Caenorhabditis elegans: one gene and its partners. The protein of the gene in region 3 interacts with the protein of the main gene of each other region in a pairwise test. Each region holds a gene or a part of one and is shown on either strand. Other genes may lie near its edges. The genes, in order: gras-1, syp-4 and syp-3.

Evidence for each region.
Region 1: the proteins of syp-3 (region 3) and gras-1 interact in a two-hybrid assay, tested with the Caenorhabditis elegans proteins (2 studies listed by BioGRID).
Region 2: the proteins of syp-3 (region 3) and syp-4 interact in a two-hybrid assay, tested with the Caenorhabditis elegans proteins (one study listed by BioGRID).

Annotation. Positions count from the first base shown.
Region 1 is NC_003279.8:7,833,883-7,837,483, forward strand, and holds gras-1 (General receptor for phosphoinositides 1-associated scaffold protein 1 homolog), read left to right. Parts: upstream 1-1,925; 5' UTR 1,926-1,944; coding exon 1,945-2,052; intron 2,053-2,103; coding exon 2,104-2,320; intron 2,321-2,369; coding exon 2,370-2,609; intron 2,610-2,657; coding exon 2,658-2,830; 3' UTR 2,831-3,085; downstream 3,086-3,601. Other genes in the region: F30F8.1 (RING-type domain-containing protein), read right to left, coding at 1-63, 112-302, 351-665, 710-886, 932-1,183, 1,229-1,317, 1,363-1,459; F30F8.9 (Letm1 RBD domain-containing protein), read left to right, coding at 3,182-3,258, 3,346-3,467.
Region 2 is NC_003279.8:6,845,551-6,850,432, forward strand, and holds syp-4 (Synaptonemal complex protein 4), read left to right. Parts: upstream 1-1,960; 5' UTR 1,961-2,043; coding exon 2,044-2,109; intron 2,110-2,154; coding exon 2,155-2,251; intron 2,252-2,297; coding exon 2,298-2,466; intron 2,467-2,536; coding exon 2,537-2,820; intron 2,821-2,875; coding exon 2,876-3,081; intron 3,082-3,142; coding exon 3,143-3,722; intron 3,723-3,768; coding exon 3,769-3,912; intron 3,913-3,958; coding exon 3,959-4,230; 3' UTR 4,231-4,373; downstream 4,374-4,882. Other genes in the region: H27M09.5 (uncharacterized protein), read right to left, coding at 334-1,316, 1,360-1,402; rpb-5 (DNA-directed RNA polymerases I, II, and III subunit RPABC1), read left to right, coding at 4,874-4,882.
Region 3 is NC_003279.8:8,662,429-8,666,114, forward strand, and holds syp-3 (Synaptonemal complex protein 3), read right to left. Parts: upstream 1,693-3,686; 5' UTR 1,687-1,692; coding exon 1,584-1,686; intron 1,531-1,583; coding exon 1,483-1,530; intron 1,440-1,482; coding exon 1,186-1,439; intron 1,122-1,185; coding exon 1,055-1,121; intron 1,009-1,054; coding exon 806-1,008; 3' UTR 632-805; downstream 1-631. Other genes in the region: mrt-1 (5' exonuclease Apollo), read left to right, coding at 1-31, 78-332, 433-631; F39H2.3 (Aminomethyltransferase folate-binding domain-containing protein), read left to right, coding at 2,548-2,651, 2,707-2,939, 2,982-3,139, 3,210-3,294, 3,429-3,523, 3,639-3,686. UniProt on the Caenorhabditis elegans protein: Plays a role in early meiotic events; during prophase I contributes to synaptonemal complex (SC) assembly, synapsis and chiasmata formation and stabilization of homologous chromosomes pairing.

The DNA of each region.
Region 1 (3,601 bases), 830 kb from region 3:
ATCATTCCCTCTGCTAAGAAGGGATACGTTGCCTTGAACTTGGTGCGTACATTGCTCTCAAAGCTAAAAAATCGTGTTCTATTAAAATAATAATTCATTAGGACAACTCACTAAGCGTCTGTAACATTTTTCAGCTCTGTGTTATCCATATTGATAAGAATATCTGTCGCCAAATTGCAGTACTCTGTTTGGTTCATTTGTTGAAATGCTTGGACGGTAGACGAGGAAGATGTACCACCTTGTTGACCAGTTTCTGATGATTCCCATAGAGTACCCATTGAATTCGGAATGACACGAGAATTCTAAAAAATGAATTTAATTTAAATCCCATTTTCTTAATTTTTTTAAACCATTTGCTGTTGATCAAACTGATTTGATGTTCCTTGATTCATACTAAGTTCATTCAACTCTCGCCGGAGAAGTTCTTCCCTCTCTTGGGAACGTAGACGAGCAGTTAATTCAGTGAACATGTTAGGAAAAACCGTTTGACCCGGAAGATATGGAAGATCAATGTTTTCAATACTCTTTCCGCTGGCAATGAATGGTATTGTTTTATTTGGATCGATGACGTCATTGTTTTGAGAAATGTTAATAGCAGCATCATTTGACTCAGAAAGCCATGTACTTTGTTCAATTTGTTCTGCTGGAATCAATACACTTGGACGCTGCAACTAAAAAATTTTGAGAGAACTGCAAAGCTCTAATTTACCGGGAACTGATGACGCTGGACCATTTCAAAAACCCCATCGAGATCAGCGTTCAACTCGGAAGACGGAACTTCACCCTGATTGTTGGCTCCATGATGAATATTTAAGTTGTTCACTTCTCTTATAATTTCAGCTGGAGCTTCATCCACTTTAGGCTGAACTGAACCGAGTTTGCGTGTCTGTCAATAAAATTCATTAAACGGGAATTAAAAGTTAAAACCAACCAGGACAGGAATTGATTGAGATGAAAGACGACGTTGTGATGAAGCTGCCAAAGTGGAACTGGAAGGAACAAGCGCAGTATCTAAGGCTGGGACAGATTCGGAATTCGACAATTCTTGGATTGGGAGAAGCCTTTGTGTGAACGAGTTTCTCACTCCAGCAACTTGACTACTAGTGGGCACCTCTGACGATGTAAATGATTGAATTTCCTGTCGAAGAGATTGAGGTGGTACTTCACTTGAGCGAACCATGTTCTGGAAACATATTTTATCAATCAGAATATGAAAACAAAGTAAAACCGTTTGCGCGATTTGCTGAGGAACAGAAGTACTGGTTGGTAGAACTGCTTCACCAGAGAGTACAGGTGGAGGAAGCGGCTGGGATAAATCTGAAAATCGACTTGAAACTTAGGTCATTAAAAGTTTCCACAAACCTCTCTGATTACCAGCGAGATATCGCTGAGGATTCATACAGAAATTCCTCGTAAACTCATTTACTTGTGCTATATATTCAGCATAAGAATCATTCATCGCGAATGATCCTTATTTTGACAAAAATCAAGGGAATTTTCACAAAAGTAGGAAAAGTATTTAGGAACGAGTTTTCGAAAGCTGAAATTTCGAAAGCGTGTCATGTGTTTGCGTGTTTCAGTAAATACCGTAACCTTCATATATTTCAACAACAAATAAGAAAAGGTGCGCACGCGCTAGTCATTTGTTTGGTCTTTTAGTCGTTTATTTTTTTGCATGATGATTGTGTTTTAGTCACTTTTTACTTAAGTTTAATAATTTTATATGCTTTCTTCTAAAGTTATTACCGAATTTCCCATTATAAACTTTGCGCGTCGAATCTGGCGCTTGCGTACATGTTTCTCGTCTCTAGCTTTTCCTTTCATCTTCTCACCAATTTTACAACTTATCGACTTTGTTTCGAGTCTTGTGTTGTTTAAACATTTAAAAAACTCTAAAAACATGTTTTTTTGTTTAATATATGTTATTTCAGAGTTTCTGCTTTTATGGATCACATCGACGCTCATAGTGCGGTTTCCACGAGTTCGAGCTCTTCAAAATATGATACGCCGGATGACAATATTTCTGAACAGCGACTATTGTGTGACGCAAAAGTAATTATTTGATTCTCCATTGAAGAACAACCATAATATTCGTTACTACAGGAAGAATATCCACTGAATGATTATCTTTTCGATGGGATCAATCAAGAATCCGCACAACGGAGCCTTCTTCTATGTCGTCAAACATTTGAAACTTCCTTTGGCTTTGCTCTCCAATCATATGTATTCAAAAGAACATCTTCAAACAGTTACGAAAGAATAACTTATGTGGATTACGTGTCGGCTGATAGCCCAGCTGATCGCTGCGGGATAACACGAGGTATTCAATCATTTAATTCAGCTTTTCCTGCCAACTACTGCAATTTTAGGCGACATGGTCATTGCTGTCAATGAAAAAAGCGTCGTCACTGCCTCCCATGCAGAAATCGTCGAATCAATTGCTCAGTGTCTTCAAGTCAGTCTCGTTCTGGTCTTCAAAGATGTAGCAAGAATCGTGGAATTGAGCATGCGGTCGATTCAGTTACGATTCATGCTCGATGCAAAAATTAGAGAATTGAGGATGCTCGAAAAGACGGAAGAAGATTTGCAAGCATTATATGACGATGAACGTAAGTCGAGTTTACGGTTATTATTTTGATTATTTGTAACAATTTTAGATGGCAATGAGGAGGAAGACGAATCACTTGAAAGCACGCTTTACGAACTTGATGAGGAGCTAAAAAATGTACAAAATCCACAAGAAAAGGAAGCAAACGGCACTGATTATCGCCATCTCATTCGCATCAACAGTAGCACGTCTGTTGGAACTCCCCAAGTCACGCGTCTCTAGTAAAATCAATGTCTTTCATATTTTCACGTTTATCTCTGAACACTCATGGGTAAACATGTATACTCTAATTATATATTTCGATCCCTGGTACATAGTTGTACATATATGTATTTTAACTTCCTGTCTCCGCCCAAAATTTGCCATTTTATTCCCATTCCAGTCATTTTGATTCCCACAAACCTGTGATCATGGTTATGATTCTAGCCTGCCTGTTATACTATTAGTTTCAGGAAATAACATGAAGTTTTATCTACTATTCCTGACACAATTATTTCAATTATCCATGAGGTTCTGTGCCTTTTCTACTTTTTCGTTTGTTTTTCCTTGACAAAACTACTTTTTTTCAAACAGATGCACTCATTGTCAAGGATTCTTCTTCATCGCAGTAACAGTGTGCTCAATTCGCCTACTTTTCTTGTTGCTGTTAGGTAGACCTTTTCATCATTAAAACCTGTTTTATTCTGAGTATCCGTTAAATTCAATATTATCCCTCTAAAAAATGTGTTCTACTTCAGACAAACATCAGCCGGTCCACCTCCAGCCACTCCAGCTAAAGAAGGATCCTTGACCTACAAGTATGAACAATTTATTGGAAAATGGCCTAAAGTGTTGGCACTTCACAGGACTGTTCTTGAAGGTGAGGGAGTTCTCCGATTAACTTACTTACTTTTGAAATTCAAAAATGACATTTTCTGATCTTTTTTATTTTTATTCAGAGATCTTGACATGCTCTCTTAAAGTCGCACGGATTTATTCAGATGGGTCTCGGCG
Region 2 (4,882 bases), 1.8 Mb from region 3:
TTTTGTAATGTATTTTTCTGATATTCGATTATTTGACAGTAGCTCTACACCATCGTCAACTAAACTGTACAAATACTGAAATTTTATGAATCAAAAATTCCCCCAAACACCTAGAGACGAAGGTACTTCTTTTTCACAAAATTACGAGATATAACCATTTCTAGCAATCGTGATTTCGTGAATCCGTGAAATTTGGCTGAGACTGAGATCGTGGTGGGACCCACTTTAAAAAATCATATATCCTGTGTCCTTAAAGTGATTTCACGAGACTACTTACGATATTAAATATAACTCTTTTTCCAAAATACAATAAAAGAAAAACTAACCACATGTTCACTTTCTCTTTGATTTTCTCGATTCAACATTTTTCTTGGACGCCTTCTTCGAAATGATTTTATTTTTCTTTTCTGGTCTCACACTATTAGACCTTTTGGAAGGCGATTTCAATGGATTTCTCGTAGATTTTGCTGATTTTTTAGAAAGCGTTTTTGGTGGTTTTATTGTAGAAATCAACTTTTTCGTTGAGATTTTTGCTGATTTCTTATCCCCCGGAGACAATGGATCAGCCAAATAATTTCGTGAAATCTTTTTTGTGGGTTTTTCCTTTGAAGGAGATGTTGGTGGAAGAGAATAATATGATTTTGGATTATCATTTGATGGCTTTACAGCAGTGGAATATGTTGATTTTCCAGTATCCACATAAACTGAACGAACGTCATCAGAATTTCGTTTCTCATGTGGTGGATCCTCCACCTTGTCATCGTATTTCTTGTAATTTCGGTAGCTGTTGCTTTTTTCTACAGGCATTGATCTGGCTGACTTATGTGAATTTTCACGTCTTCTCTTTTCATCCCTATAACTACTTCTTCTGGATTCTCCATCTCTATCTCTATCTCTATCACCTCCTCTTCCAAAATCACGTCTACTTGGAGATTTCTCCATTTTATGAGCCGATACATTATTTTTCTTGCTCCGAGAGCTATCTCTTTTGTCCCTAGAACTGCCACGTTTACTTCCAGAACTGTGTCTCTTCTTCCGTTTGCTCCGTGAGCTTTTCATACTCTTCTGTCTTGATTTTTTCTTTTTAGAACCTTCTTTCCTGTCAGATCCATTATTGTGATCATTTCCATCTTCCTTATAATTTTCCTTTTCATCTTCATTATCACCCTTCTTTTCTCTCTTAGATTTTTTAGATTTCTTCGATTTCATTGATTTCTTTGACTTTGAACCTTTTCGTCGGAACATCTCACGATGCCCGGTAGTACATCCAAGCACCATCGTTGCACTAGTTAAAGTGGCAGTCACCATAAGACATACTGTAAAAGTTGCTTCAAAAGCTGAATCAATGAGTAAACCTACGGTAATTCACATTCTCGGCCATTTGTTCTGGCGATGAACTCATTTTGTGAACAAAATAGAAATAAAGATGTTTTGATCAAATGAAAAGGCTATGCAAACGACACATCCAGTTCGAGACGTTTAATTTTGATAAATTTATATTAGCGTCTTTTCCATCCTTCAGTGAACTTTCAAATCTCCCAAATATCGTAAAAGAACATCGGCTAGGTGTTACATATAGACCCACTTTTCAGGGCCGCGCGCACGCAGCCCCGATACGCAAAAATTAAGCTGTTGGCGAATCTCAACTCGAGACTGCCACACAGGTCAGCCCGCACCAAAAGTGCAATGGGTAGGCCTAACCATGGGGATTCCGCCTTTGTGATCGCGAAATAACCCCCAGCCAGGTAAGTTTATGAGCCTGCGGGTGGAGGGAGTAGTGCGATAGGGTGTCCCGACATTTTGCGGTCTCCGCTACTCACTGTGTTTAGTGTATATGAGGCGGATTTTGACGTGATGGCAATTTGCGTATTTTACATTTAAGTTTACGAGCAATTGCAGGTACAGTAACCTTTGATGTGCAGGCACGAAAAAAATCTCCATTCAAAAGTTTGTTGCTTTTAGGAGAAAACTGAACTTTTCTGTTTCTTTGTTCGGTACGGTAACCTCATTTTTCATCAAAATTTTTTATTTCAAGGCGAAATAATGTCGTTTCCGACGCTACAAGTACGTCCAAATGAGAAAAATCCAAAAGTTCTGCGATGCCATGAGGTATTTTTAATCTACAGACAATCAGTTGTAATCCTCTTCTTTCAGTTTCTTCGCCAATCAAATCAACTTGTGGAGCGAAACATGATCAACACGGAAGGAAGAAAAATGTTGGCAAAGTTGCTGACGAAAATGGTATCCGAAGGTAAGATTCCCGATGGTTCATCGTTTTCCACTATTTTATTATTTAGCCAAAGGAATCTATGCATTAGATGAGAGACGCGCCGAGTTGGCAAAAAGTGGGAAACTCCAGGAGAAGCTGAAATCAGCTTATCAAACATCGCTGACAGTAATGGAAGATCGTCTACACATTGCTGAGCTATCTCGGCAGGTTCAAGAAAAGAAGCTGACAGTTCAGCAGTAAGTTTGTTCACATTAAAAGTAACACAATGTCTATTTTGACTCGAGTAAACCATTCAATTTTTTAAAGGAAATATTACGAATGTGACGACCTACGAAAATCCGTGCAAGAGACGAACACCGAGGCTCGACGAGTCCAGGAAATCAACGAACAGCGGCTTGTGGACACAACCAGGGCCACTGAGGAGCTCATCGTGAAAAGTGCCTCAATTCTGAAAAATCTAGAAAATTCATCCGACGTACATAAGCTTCGTGCAATGGAAGAGGAGAAAAGAATTCTAGAAGAAGTAGTGGAGGGGCTCAGAGATCAGAAGAAGTGTCTTGCCGATGATATCCGTACCAAGAAAGCTACATGTAAGTTATGAAGCATCGAATACACTTAATTTTTTGTAATATATCAAATTTTCAGTGAAAGCCGAATCAAAGAAATCGTTCGAAAAGACGGTAATTGAGTGTGCGAAACACTATAAACTCCATCAATCCTTGATGCCGAAGTTAGACAAATCGAAAAGAAGTTTGGAAACATTGAAGGACGAGGAAGAGAATCGACGAATTTGTGGAAGTCTCAGTCTGGATGAAACAATGCAGTTTGATCGTTCTTTTATTCTCGCGTCGGTATGTAAAACTAAATTTTATAAAGCCTAATTGCCTTTTCAAACTGAAATAATATTTACAGATGGACAAAACAAATAAGCCAGAAAAGGCCGTACAACAGTTAACTTCGAAAAGTTCGGAAGTTTCGATCACTCCACAGATAAGCGAAACCGCGAAATCTTCCTTCTCCAAAGAGCCAATTCCGACACAGCATCCGATGGAAGTTGGCGAAGAACCTGTAATCGAACATTCAGCTGAAGAAAGCGTTCATATTGAACCACCAAATGTCACTGAAATAAGGGAGGTGGTACCACAAATTACCATTCAGCCTACTCGTCAAGACAGCGTCGTTCAACGGGATGCAGAAGAGTTAGACACTTCAGCAGTTCCAAGCCCCCAACCGGAATCAATCCTAGATGAGCCCGAAGAAGAAGAAGAAGAACTTAGCAATCATGAAAATCATGCCGATCAATCGATGGATGTAATGGAAGTAGATCAGGAAGTACCCGAGGAAAGTCCCATGGAAGTCGGTGAGCAAGAAGAAATTGAGCAACCATCTGTATTCAAGGACATTCTAGCCACGGAGCAGGCTGCACTCTCCCAGGAACAAGAACCAGAGATCGTTGAGAAGCAGGCAGACAATGATGTTCAGTTTGTTGATGGTAAGTGTTTTACTTGGCAATAAACATTGAGTTATTCATTTCGCAGATCAACAAGTGGGAGCACAACTAGATGTAGAAGACGAAGAAGAAGTGATGAGCGAAAACGGTTCCAACAAAAGCAATAACTTCTCTTTTAACTTTTTTGGGAATAGCAAGGGTACATCAGCGGGAGAAGGTGGCGGTGAAGGCAGTAAGTTATGAAACACGTGAAATTAAAAAAAACTCCATTTTTATAGACTTCGACTTTAATTTTGACGGAATTGGAGCAGGAGATGATGGTTCGAACAATGGTGGTTCTACTGGAGATCTGGATTTCCTTAACTATGACGGAGAGGATGAAGGAAAGGGTTCGGGAAACACTCAATCCGATCCGTTCGGATTTGCATCAAATGGTAACGCAGCTGGTGGAGGTGGAGATGGATCGTTCAACTTTAACTTTGACGGTGACGGTGAAGGCGGAGCAACTTCTGGAGCGGGCGGAAACAGCACCTCGTTCTTTAACTTTTAGAAAATTATCATGTATTATTCAGCTCTTGTATCATTTGTATCGTTTAATGTCAGAAATTTTAGATTTTATTGGACCAAGAAATTGCCTCTTTTTTTTCTTTTTGAACAGCAAAAATATACATAATATAAAGTATTGATCATCTCATTGCGTTTTATTCTTTTTCACTTTAATGCTTTAAATGTATAGCTATTTAAATAATATTTATTCTGAAACAAACTCAAGTTCGCTTATGTTCGCAAAATTTTTGCTCGTAAAATCAGCAGCATTCGACGCAATGAACGATGCTCCGGTATAACGCTAACGAGCTTTGTTTAGCCATTGGAATTTTATTCGAAAAACGAAAATTGTCCTGTCAAATTTAGTGATTTTCATGTTTTTTTCCTTCAATTCTTTCCCACCAATTTGAATATGAGACATTGCAGCAATCTCCCTTCTGATTATTCAATTTAAATTGTTGGTATACCATAGTTTATGTTTTTCCTGTTAACCTCAATGTTTATTATTAATTAAAAGAGGTTGTTATATGTTCAAAGTTACACTTAAAATTGTGATGAGACTAAGACGAATTGTTCTTTATTTTTCAACCTTTAATGTCGGCGGAAAACTTTTTAAAAGTAGTTTATTGCAGAGACTAACAGTAATAATGGCTGAC
Region 3 (3,686 bases):
GAGATATTAAAGTTATCAAAAAAGGAAGCTAGTACGGCTTTCCATTTTTAAACACATCAAATAATCCTTTATTTTAGTTGTGAAATATCTCAAAATTCGGTGATAATCGACATATCGATGCTCTATTATACGTTTGGAAATGGTGTCAACGACGACGAGGGAATCATTAGAATTCCATATTCCGACCACTCTTCAAGAAGTGAAATTCTTAAATTTCTCAGTCATTTTCACTTTAAAACGATTACGCCGTGTACTAAAAAGTATTCTATCATTGAGCTGGCATCTTTGGAAAATGCAGGAAAACGATCAGAAGAGGACCACACAGTAGAAAAGTAAGTTAGTCTCATTATTGAAGCACGACTTTCGAAAAAGGGAAAGTTATTCATATTCCCAAAATTGTGAATTTTAATTAATAGGAACATCTTACTTTAGGACTCAATCTACTATCCAAGGAACACCCATTTCACAACTTCAAGAAGACCCTCTACCGCCTGGAGTTGTATTTCGAACGAATACATGCGATTTTATGGATATGGACTTGGACAATTGGCCGGAAGGACCTCCGAAAACATTTGCGGAAGCTATCGCTCGGGCCAATAATTCAAGAAGGCCGAGAAATCCAGGACTATAATTTATTAAAACTTCACAACGGTTGATGCAATAAAATTAAATATTACATGATAAGCATTCGACATGATGAAAGTTTAGGATAACAGAACGATTTGAAAAAAGATTATTCAATTTTTAATATCATTACAGTTCGATTAACAGTTGCCCACATTTTGGCTGTTCTGATTCTTTTAATTCATGTAGAAAGTCGGGCTTTCAGAGCTTCTTCTTGTAGACGACATTTTTGGTACTCACTGCGCAGTTTGGCAACTTGATAATGGAAAATAATGCGAAGAGTGTTGCGCTCTTTGTAGGTCGCTCCACATGTTGGACGGAGAGAAGGAATCATTTCAGAAATAGTCGATGATTGATCAGCGATGGCGACTTCTAGTTGTTTCTCTGCAAGTTTAGTTGATAATACCATCAAAATTTTTTTTCAACTTACTTTCAATGTTTAATTCATCCAGATTGTTTTTGAGTGAATTGAATTGACCATTCATCGAATCATGTGACTGAAAATATAACATTCAGAAACCCACTCTTTTTAAAAATTATAAAGTTATCGAGCAGACTTACCAAGTTGTTCATCGATTTAATTAATGAATTGAAGTGATCTCCGAACTGTGTACCCGCACTGTCCACATCCTCGTTTTCCAAATAAGACATTAGTTCATCATAGGCTTTTTCTTGTCTCTCTTCCCAGTCTCTTTTCTGTTCAGACAGTTTATTGTCAGTTGCTGTCAAATCCTGAAGCTGTCTTTCTAGACTTTCTCGTTGAGCAGCACATTTAACCCTGTCTTCAGCAATTCGCTCGGTGAATGAAGTTTCGGCTGAAGAAAATTTTAAAGTTGAGCCTTTTTCAATCTGTCAAACCTTCAAGCTGTTGAGTTTCGATTTGCCTCATTCCTTTTTCTATGGCCTCTGAAAATGTATTTTTAAATTCATATTTCATTGATGTTTGCCTCAAAACATACCTCTTTCCCCAGCGAGCGAGTTGGTGAACTCAGTGAGCTGCCCGCAGAAAATTTTGAATCGGTCACCATTTACTGCCTGACTGACAAGCTTTTCGAAATTCATTTATCTCTGAAATTGGAGATATTGAAATGGCCAATTCACAATAGAAAATAAAAATATTTAAAATTAACAAAAAACCGTAGCGTGTTTGCGATCGTTGCGAGACCCACATGACTTAAGAACAACGTGAGCCTTTAAACCGTATGTTTTCATGAACAGTTTTATTTTTATTCACTCATTAAACACACAAAATATTCATTTTTTAAATATGTATTCGCTTCGACAATTTTTAATTCAAATTAATTTTATTAAATTTAAGCAACAACCTACACTCAAAATAAAAAAACTGCGTGGCCTGTACTGCAGAAAACCTCATTTTTAGGCCCCGCCTTTTTCTCGTCCACTCACGGACAAAAGGCAAAAATTTGGGGACCAACCAATATCAGGCCGCCGACATCCTACGGGTTCCGCGCGCCGCTAGGATTAACTCGCTGTGGGCGTGGCGAGCTGTCTCCGCCCGCTGCGAGTTAAACATAGCGGCGCGCGGAACCCGTAGGATGTCGGCGGCATGATATTGGTTGGTCCCCAAATTTTTGCCTCCACTCCGTGAGTGGACGAGAAAAAGGCGGGGCCTAAATATGAGGTTTTCTGCAGTACACGCCACGCAGTTTTTTTATTTTGAGTGTAGTTTGTCCCAAGCTTAGGCAAATTATAATTATTCCCAGCTTTCAATGCGACGTACTTGGTGCTTCATCCTAAATAGTTTGCTGCTAATCCAAGCGCTTGTTTTCTTTTTCAAATTTCCTCGCTCTACTTGCGGCCGCGGACGAAATTATTCGGCACGGCCATATGATCATCCCCGTTGCGAAATTTACTCTAACATATTTTAATATGTTTTCTTGTGATTATCAAACTTTTTTACAGATGTCAACACAAAGATTAATTAAATTGCCTCATAGAGTTCTTTTGAAACTTCATGGCTCTGACACAAACGCGTTTCTTCAAGGTTTAATTACAAATGATGTGACGTATGTTTTTATACTCTAAAAATTACAGCGAAAATGATTACATCTTATTTTGCAGAAAACTTCAAACTCAAAATGGACTTGCTGCTTTTTTGCTCAACACAAAAGGGAGAATTGTTGAAGATGTTCTTCTATGGAGACGAGGAACTGATGATTTGTTCTTGGAATGTTCTAAAGAAAATAAAACTATTTTAACAAAAGAAATCTTGAAATATCGATTGAGGAAACAAGTTGAAATCACCGAATCTTCCGATCAAATATTTTTCACAGAAGATGTATCGGACAAACAAGGTAGAAAATGAACGTCAAAACTTTAATAACATTTTATTTTAGCTCACCGCGATCCTCGATTTTCTGGTTTTGGAGCTCGCGTTTTCGGTAATCCGTCTTCATCGGAAGTTAGCGAAAATCGAGAAAAATATGAAAATTTGCGACGATCTGCTGGAATTGCAGAAGGATCTCAAGAATTGGCGGAGTTGCTTCCTTTTCAGGTAAAAATACAACAGAAGCAATTTAAATGAAATATTTCTAAAAGTTCATTTTCAAATATTATTTTTTAAGGCAAACGGTGATCTGCTCAATATGGTTTCACTTGATAAAGGATGTTATGTTGGACAGGAATTAACTGCAAGAACTGCTCATACAGGTTACTTCAACTAAATTTAGATATTTGGAGACGTGAAATCTCACTTTCCTTTTTATTTAGTAACTTGTCAATTAAATTTTTGTAAAACCCACAAAACTAGTTCAATTTGATTTTGAAAAATTAAATTTTGACAGGTGTTATCCGTCGACGAATCTTACCATTTGAATGTGAAGGTCAAGTCAAAATTGGAGCAGAAGTTCTGGACGAGAAGAAAAATAAAGTCGGAAAGGTGTGTTTAAAAGTTATAGTGATAAAAAATTCATCTAAACGTTGGAATTATCTGGAGTCAATTCACTGTCAAAAATTGAAAAACAATAGTTTCTGTTCAATTAAAAAATCTTCAGATTATCTCTTCTGACACAACTCGTTGCCTGGGAATTCTTCAACTTTCT